Yarrowia lipolytica: one gene and its partner. The main gene of each other region encodes a partner of the protein of the gene in region 2 in a complex. Links are inferred from orthologs where the notes say so. Each region holds a gene or a part of one and is shown on either strand. Other genes may lie near its edges. The genes, in order: YALI1_C31989g and YALI1_C30399g.

Region 1 (4,148 bases), about 160 kb from region 2:
CCTTTTCGGCGTCGAGGGCAGTTCGGAATCGTCGCGATCGCTGCTGGTTCATCTTGGCTCTCGGTGCGACTCCGTCAATGGCCATAAAGAAGAGTTTCTTGGGCCGAATTTTGGAAAATAGATGCTCAATGTACTCGAAGATGGCGCGGAACATTTGTTCTTCCGTCAGCTGGAACGTCACATCTGCGTCCTTGTGTGTGCACACGTGCAGAATCGAGTTCATATCGAGGTACAGATTGTCATATCTGGGTTAGCACGGAAATGTTGTGATGTGGCTGTGGTGGTAACAGTTTTGTGTGTTATTGTGGGTTTGATCTGGCCTGAATCATGTATCGAAACAACATAGAACATTCGACAAGGGCTTTCAAACGATCCTCCAGTCACAAGGCTCTTGTTATACGTTCCTTCAGGTCGTCTAGTGTCGTGGTTTTGGTCATCAGTATGCTGACCGATCAGACACCCCACAATCACCAAACGGTCGTGTTGCCATCTCCAAAAACACCCTCACTGCTCTCATACTCACTCAGGAATCTGTGTATCAATCACTTGTTGGGAAATCAGCGGCCATCGCTCACTGATGTAGCGGAAAAATTTAGGAATACCCATTGATGGTGTATCTGCTGTTGAAAATCAAATCTTGTGATGTGGTGGGATGTAGGGACAAGACACTTAACTTTAAGGGAAACCAAACGACGATAGAATGCGCATAGTGGCGACTATTGGTGGCGGTAGACAGAGAGAAAGGAAGCCTTTGGAAGCGCAGGTATGACTTATTCCGATAGCCGGATGAGATGAAGTGCATCAGATGAACGACTCCCGGCTTATTGGAACCATATGGAACGCCGTGGATGGCTCGATACTACCTTACCCGGCAGTGATGGATGCCTGTCACGTGTCCTACAGCACAACTGCAACATACTGTATCTATATGGTTTGTAGGCTGCTTCAGAAACGTGCCCTACCCATACGGAGGATATGAATCTTTACAGGGACTTGCCTAACCTGGAACTGAGTTATTTCGGGCGAAAAATAGCCGTACACAAGGTTGCATGAAAGGGTTCATCTCGTATGTATGTATTGTAGATACATTGTACGATGCAGTTATTGTTAGTCAGAACGTTACGAGGATTAGCTGTGGAGTTTAGCTGTGGAATTTGACAAAATGTAATGTAGACACTGCATTAACTAACTTGACTGAGAAGTCAGAGTACGTACAGTACTGTAAGTAGAAATGGCTAGGAGAAGGTGACACGCCCTGTACCACCCACAGAACGAAAGCACACATCTATTTCAGACGACATTTGCCACTATTTTGTCTTTTTTCGATCGCGTTGCCCCTTTTTTGAATTTCGATGAGGTTTCCTGGAAGATGCAGGTCTGACAGTGGAGGGAAAGAGTTTCCGTACTGTGCCGAATGTTCACTGTAGTACCTACTGTATTTCCACAAAGTATGGGACTGAGATGGTTCATAGAAAAAAGTAGAGTATCAGTGTATTTAGTTAGTTTCAGCAAACAAAATTATGGAAAAATCACGCTTATAGGGCTATTATTACGAGAGTTGGATAGATGTCATGCTTTCCGCCGTATTATCACGCGAAAGTTTATCGATCTTGGTTCGACTCACATACGGACAATCATACAGAAAATGCAGCAACCAGAGAGAACTCACGGCAATTGGGAGTGAAGCTGGTGACAGAATAGCTCCCCATTTTCCATCAAAACAGTGAATCACAATGGAATGTTCTAGAGCAACCTAAACGCCGGGTATTTCACACGTCGATTACCGCCAGAATAACGAAGAAGGATACGGGAAAAAAAATACTGTAGGATGAACACTGTACTGTAGTCTTTCCTGGTGCTCCCTCCCAACCAAGCTTCAAATTTGAAATTTCAGAGAGATTGACAAGACTGACCCTGAGTTCGACTCCACGACTTCATGAATTTCAAGATAAGGCGTTTAATCGAAATATGTAATTGATGATAGAAAGGAGGCAGTATTGATTTTTTTTAAAGCAGTACTCATCTAAGTAATCTATGGCCTCCGTTACCTGCTGCTCTGTTGTAGTGTTTACACCATCCATCCGCTTACATCCTCAGCCTTGTTGGCTTAATAAGCAAAATTATCAACAGCATGCAGCAAAACAAACCAAACTTTTAGAGACGCCATCACCACACAGATACATCATGTTCGGCAGCACTGGATTCGGACAGAAGCCCGGAGGCTTTGGCGCCGCCAATACCGGCACGACCGGTAACACTGGTGGCGGGTTTTCGTTCGGCCAGAATAACAATTCCAACTCCACTAACACCAACACTGGCGGAGGATTCGGGTTTGGCCAGAACAACACCAATCAGACCAGCAACACGGGCGGTAACACTGGAGGAGGCTTTTCGTTTGGCCAAAACAACAATGCTGGAGCCTCTAACACCGGAAACACCGGAGGAGGACTTTTTGGAGCCAAGCCTGCTGCCACCACTGGAGGAGGGCTGTTTGGTCAGAACACAAACACTGCCGGTACTACTGGTACTACAGGCACATCTGGAGGTTTCTCTTTCGGCCAGAACAACAACAACACCACTTCGAACACAAGCACAACCGGAGGCGGTCTCTTTGGAGCTAAGCCTGCTGCCCCCTCAGGTGGGGGGCTGTTTGGACAGAACACATCCAATACTGCCAACACCGGAACCACAGGCACCACCGGTGGACTTTTCGGCCAGAACAACAACGCCGCTTCTACTAACACGGGCGGCGGACTGTTTGGTGCAAAACCCGCCACCACTACTACTTCAGGAGGTGGTCTTTTCGGTGCTAAGCCTGCTACTACCGGTACCGGCTTTGGAGGAGGATTTGGACAGAACACAAACACAAACACAAATACTGGAGGACTTGGATTTGGTCAGCAACAGCAACAGCAGCAGCAACAACAGCAACAACAGCAGCAATTGACCGTCACTCCTCTGACCAGACCGTCGGATCTACCGGAACATATGCAGAAGGAGTTTGAACAGATCGACGAATACATTCAGCAGCAGGCCCGAATATGCGATGAGCTGTCCACGAACAAGCTGCAGCATCAGGAGATGATCGAGTCGATCCCCCGAGATGCTGAGCTCATCTCCAGAAAGTACATCACTGCTTACGAGGCTCTGGTGCACGACTCCGAAAACATGAACGAGATCAAGACTCGATCAGACATTGCCGCACAAGAGGCGCAGACGTGTTTCAACCTGCTCAGCTACCTGACCAGTCAGACTCCTGGCCGTCTCAACTCCAACCGACCCGCTGGAGCTCCCAGAGAGAACGGCGATCCTCTGCTCAACTACTTTAAGACAAAGTGTGAGGAGTACGAGAAGCGAATTGAGGAGCTGGCAAAGGTGACGGCCGAGGTGGAGGCTGGTGTTGTGGGACTGGAACAAAGCGGACCTCAGAACCCTTCTGTGGTCATTGACAACTTTACCATTTCGCTGGAGGAGCTATACAAGCTGTTCATGGGTCTTGGAAACCGGGTGGCCGAGTTGCATCATGTTGTCGAGCGGCTTGAGCAGCGGAAGTAACTTTGGAGGTGTAGCTACATGATATGTATATTGAAGGAATACTTGTAATTGTAGTTGATTTGGTGTAACGAGTATTTACTACAAGTATAAACGTTGTAGACAATAATAAGGCTACAAGCAGATGAAGACAAGCAAAGTATCACCCCTTAAGGCGAGAGGCTTTTGGTATGGTCAAGCGACTTTATGGAAGTATTGATTCGAGAACACCCCTGTACATACTGTAAAGCTGTAGCTGCCGCATGTAACATATTGCTCAACTGTTCTAACTAACGTTAAGTAAAGTGACAAACTCAAAGTAAGCAAGAATAGCATTATATTTCTTTATATCTGAGAACTCCGGTAACTTGTTAGATAAGTAATAACAACCAGATCACTTTCATAAATTTTTTGGCGTACGTTTCATATTTCTACCGTATCTGGGACACTATTTGCGCCCTCAGTCAACTTTTCCCTAACTAACTCCCAACTAATTCTCTTTCTGCAGCTTAGTCACGTCACTATAATAAAGTTTCGAGTGCATGGGTTTACGTACGTACAGTACGTTGACCATGATGAACATACAGCGATCACAACTACAACGACATACACACAGC
Region 2 (5,341 bases):
CGCCACCGCCATCACCAAGTACTTCTCCGACCACCTCTCTGACTTCCCCGCGCTCAAGTGTGTCCACCACTCGTCCTTTCAGACCGAGGACTTTGTCAAGAAGCAGCTTGTGGGAGGCTACGGACCTGTTTTCGTGCTGGAAATGCAGTCTCGAGAAGCCGCCCGAGCTCTGCCCAGCAAGCTCAAGTTCTTCAACCACGCCACTTCTCTTGGAGGAGTCGAATCGCTGATTGAATGGCGACTCATGAGTGACGCTACCACTAACCCTGCTTACCTGCGGGTCTCTGTTGGTGTTGAGGACGCCAATGACCTCATCGGCGATCTCAAGCAGGCTCTTGAGGCTTCCAAATAATCTAATACACACTATTGACTCTGTATCACGTGCATTTCTATTGCTAGCCTCAAGAGGTCTGTCTTGCTCAAATTATCCGCAAAAATAGTCACAATCTACGTAACTTTTAATAGCTATTCATACAATCAATTATCTATATCGTCTTCTTCTCCCTACATGTTAACACTGTTGAGATTGGTGTCCAGAGCAGTGAGCTGCGAATAAACCTCTCGAGGCATTCGGTACTGGATCATGCCGGCGTAAATCATACAGTTTCGAGACCGGGCCTTGAGCTCGGCCAGCCGGTCGCACCGAGTAGCATCGTTGAACTCGGACTCCTGGATGTTCTGGGCCAACTCAGCACAACACGTCATAGTCATGAGCAGCAACGAGGGCACATTTCGAGCAGTGGACTCGTGGAGAGACACAAAGTCCTGAGCACGTCGACGAATGGTGCCTACGTCGGCGGTAACGTGGATGGGGATCACATTGATATTGTCAATCACAGCAATGCAATGGGCCCAGTGGCCACGCGAGTACGACTCCCGAGCAGACACAATCTGCAGAAGAATCTCGCAGGTATCTCGGTTCCGCTGCGACACATGCGAGTACATCTGGGGGTTGTTAGTGTATAGTTCTCGCATGGTGGCGGCCAACTGAGCGGGGTTGGTCGCGGTGGACAGCAGAGAAAGCGACTGGGCAGGCTCCACGTTCGAGTCTCCAAAGTCCATCATGCTCAGTGCGTCACCAAGAGTTCGGTTCATGATAGACACGACAGTGTCGTACTGCTCAGACAGCTGATAAAGGAGAATCGCGTCAGCGAACCGACCGTCGTCCTCAGCACGCAGAGCAGCCTGGGCAGTGATCTGAGTGAGGAAGTCGTCCTTGTCCAGACCAATGAGCTTGGACCGACGCTCAATGCAACCGGGAGACCGAGCTCCATCGGCTCTAATGTCACCCAGAAGAACAGAGAACTGCCGAGTCTCGAGCACAAGCTCTCGCAGGGCCTCGTGACAAGCGTCCTCTTGATCTCGGTAGAAACACAGCAGAACAAGGTAGTCAACAGCATCAACAGCATCTGATCGTCGGAAGTCCCGGGTGTAGTGTCCAATCAGACGAGCAAAATGAAGAACCTGTTGGTCCTTCTTGTCCACAGAAAGATATGAGCCATCGGAGTCCTCGGTATCTTCGGGCTTGGAGACACGCAACAGCCCATAGTAAGCCAAAGCAATGGCATAATGAACAGCATCAACGGGACAGAAGGTAAGAGCATAACTGACAGCAGCCTCAAAAAGACCACATAGAAGGAGCATTTGGAAATAGAGACCGGGAGATTTACCAGAGGGGTTGAAATGCTTGGATCCAAAGTTGAGCACGGTTCGCTGCACGTCCAACAGAGTGTATCGATCCTGAAGAGGGCCGTCCACAGTCTCTCGAGAAACAACAAGATGGGCCCACAGCCAGTCCTCAGCAGTCTCAAGAACCTCGGGGAAGACCTTTCGAGACAAGTCGCATCGGCCAATGATCTTGTACAGAGCAAACTTGAAAGGATCGGAATGAGCATCGAGGAACCGAATGTGCTGGTTAAACTCGGTGAGGATCCGATCATGCATGTCACGTGACAGCACGTGATCCTTAGACTTGACATATGCCTGGAGATAGACGGGGAATGAACGTTCAATCTTCTCGAGCGACGACTCAATCTCAAGAGTAAAGTCGAGAGCCTCCTGAAGATGTCCAGATCGAACCATATAGTAAAGAACAGCCCAAACGGGCACTCCGTTCAGAATTTCCATGTTCTCCTTGGTCCATTGGCCTCCTCGGAAGTACCGCACGTTCAAGTAAGCTTTGATTTTGTTGTAGACTGATGGCACGCCTCCCAAAAGAGCGTCCTGGGGAGACTTAGCAATCTCGGCCTCGACACAGGCGTAAAACTGATGCTCAAGATACATTTTAGAACCATGGGAGATCTGTTTTCGCACCTTGAGTCCGTCGGGGCTGCCGGGAGGAGCAGCGTACATCTTTCTGTAGATTCCTTCTTTGGCAGGAGCCTCGACCGACTCTCCAGAGATGTACGACAGAATATCCCATGCATCGTTGAGCTGCTGACTTTTGGCGTCAGAGAGGTTATCGGCTGCAGTGGAAAGAGCTGCGGACACGGGGAAGGCCTGGCCCTTTGATCGGGCATTGTTGAGCGCCGAAATGGCCTTTGCGAATTGCCGTTGTCGTGGAGTAGCAGTGCCAATCTCAGGAGTGCCCAAGATGAGTTTTCCGAGACTCGCGGCGCCCCAGGTGCCCCCCAGGACTGTCTTTGTCAGCTTGTTGTTTGTGTTGGTGGTTGTGTTGTTGTTGAGGTTGTTCTTGTCGTCGTCCTTCTGGATCAGGCCAAAGTGCTGGCAGATCTGCTCCTTGCGCTTGGCCCAGTCGAGGGACACGTTCTGGTTGAGAAACTGGTCAAAATCTGACGCTGACAGTCGTACAGAGTCTGCAATGGCCGCCAGAATGCTGTCCTGCTTCTTGTTCTGCAGATACGAGTCGATGCCCGCAACATTCTTGTCGTAGTACTCGATCCCGGGATTGAGCGTCAGCGACGACAACTGCAGATAAATGTCCTCCGCGTTGATTCCGCTGCCCGCCAGCAGGTAGTGTGCCTTTGTGTCGTTTCCCTCCGAGTGTTTGTCTCGCAACGAGTTTGCTCGCTTGCCGATCTCGCTCAGATCGAGCTGAATTGAGCCCAGGTGCGAGGCGGCGTGGGGCAGATTCTTGCTCGACGCAATCAACTCGTTGAAAAGCGCCACCGAGGGCGTCAACGTCTCAGCCATGGTTGTGATGTGTGATGGTAGGCGTGTAGCGAAATGTGTGTTGTGGTACCAAATAAACATTTATTTTAGAGTTTGAGGATAAGTGACAGATTATGACCGTGTTGAGGGGAACAGGATATATAGGATACTCGTCTGGAACATAGTTAGAAGAAGCAATTATATAGATGGAGACACCGAGTTGCAATTTCATTACGCTGTTACGCTTTCAGCCGTTTCCAGACATCCTTGTACATCAACAATTGATAGTTAGATAAACTCAACAATGTCAACAAAGCTATCTACACTGTTGGTATGCTACTGGACCTATTAGTTAGCTTTACTTAACCTTTTTTTCTATTTTCCCAACAAAAACGTCCCCATCGTCAGTTCCATTATGATCCATCTAACTCCACCAATATTGATCCTACGCGATTAGTTAAACAGATTACTAACAATATATGCTCCTCCTATTTCAATCGCCGTCTTTCTCCTCATATATCGCACCGAAAATCAGCACATTCGTGCCGGACATTATCGTCCCCTTTTTCCGTTTGAGTTTTTCAACACAAAAAATCTCGAAACCCTATAATGAAACATTTTGACAATACTGTAGTCTTGAGACTGTCCACAGTCAGAAGACCCCTCTCACAAAAACCAATTGTCTTGCACAAAAACATTTTGCCCCTCGATGTTCCTCTTTGTAAAAATATCATCTGATTCCGAAATCTAAGCTTCAAAGTCTCAAACTCATCTCCCGATACACTTCCCCCCCCCTCTCCCGGCTCCACAACCCACCTACACATGCGACCGACGATACACAGGCCGGATCTGGGCACTCTGAGAGCCATTCTGAATGGCCACGCAGATCAGGAAACCGACAATGACACGAGAAAAAGGGTCAAATTGCTCAGATACATCATTGTCGACGTGTACGAGGAACTGGTGACCACGTTTGTACCGCGGTGGACACATGCAGACTGGGCCTGGTGTATGAGAGTTGTGGTTGAAAAGTGTCTGCGAGATATCATGCGTATGGGGCTCATCACCTCTATCTATGATCTTGTCTATTCTCTGTTTGTGGGTTATGTGGGAGCTCCTGTCACGAAGGAACGCCTGCTGAGGTTTGCCGGCGGTTACCACAACCCCTCCACCAAGTTCAAGGATGCCTACGATATTACTGTGGCGTATTTCAGCATGTTTGATCACGACGAGAAGAATGTGCAAGAGTTCTTGGCCGAACATGACGAGACTACCGCTCTGGAATACCTTCAAATGGGCTACCTAGAAAAGACACCGATGTTTCAAGAACAAGCGACGGACGATATAGAGGTGCTGGAGACCTATTTCGCTATCCGAACGTACCTCTGGCGAAACGCAAGGTCGGCATACTTTCAACTGAAAAGAGATGGCGTGGAGGTTTATGACTTTGATGTTGTTTTCGAGCAGCAAACCCCTCCTTTTCTGCCGAATGTATTCATCAACCTCGCACTCATCTTTTTTACGGCTTGTGGATGGCTGCCGGTAGGAGACAATGTTGGACTGTTCAGATACCAGAACATGTGGTTGGAGAACAGAACTAAAGGAGACCCGGGACTTCAGGACAAACTGTATGCCTTGTTTAGAGCCCAAGGAAACCCCAGAAGTGACTGGGAAACGTGGTGGAAGAAGCTGAATCCACTTCAGCGAGATGTGGCTCATGATCGCATGACTCTCATAGGTCCTGGACTGCTGGACGTGGCTTCTACGCCCTCACCCAGACCCGTGGACCAATTCCTGGTCATGTTTCCTAGGGCGACAACAGAAGTTAGCCCAACAGTTCAGCATTTTGTGGCAAATCAGCTCCAGATGGGCCAGGTGCTGCATTCTGAGTTCCTACTCAGCATAAGGAGATACAACAAGATGAGATGGGACAGAGAGCAGTCGAGCAGGCTGAAAAAAGATACCGGCACCAAATGGGATGGCCCGAAAGGGTACGAAAAGATTTACAATACGGTTCCATCCGGATATTTTGACAATTTGGTGGACAAGAACTTCTATCTCGATGACTACATCTTTGAGGACAAGGTGTATGGTATTCCTAGCCCCGCTACTGAAGGCAGACTGATGGGATTGCCGTTCCAAGAGCATCTCGAGACACTTCAGAGAACCAAGGAGTTTTTCTTTTTCAAGTCCATGTTCACAGACTCACGTGACAAAATCAACACTTACT

The links.
Region 1: YALI1_C30399g (region 2) and YALI1_C31989g share a complex: the UniProt entries of both Saccharomyces cerevisiae proteins name them as parts of the nuclear pore complex. The link is inferred for Yarrowia lipolytica from reciprocal best matches to the Saccharomyces cerevisiae genes NIC96 and NUP49.

The regions. Positions count from the first base shown.
Region 1 is NC_090772.1:3,196,867-3,201,014, forward strand, and holds YALI1_C31989g (uncharacterized protein), read left to right. Parts: upstream 1-2,034; coding exon 2,035-3,555; downstream 3,556-4,148. Other genes in the region: YALI1_C31971g (uncharacterized protein), read right to left, coding at 1-245, 524-606. UniProt on the Saccharomyces cerevisiae protein: Functions as a component of the nuclear pore complex (NPC).
Region 2 is NC_090772.1:3,037,870-3,043,210, reverse strand, and holds YALI1_C30399g (uncharacterized protein), read right to left. Parts: upstream 3,214-5,341; coding exon 505-3,213; downstream 1-504. Other genes in the region: YALI1_C30440g (uncharacterized protein), read left to right, coding at 1-352; YALI1_C30392g (uncharacterized protein), read left to right, coding at 3,934-5,341. UniProt on the Saccharomyces cerevisiae protein: Functions as a component of the nuclear pore complex (NPC).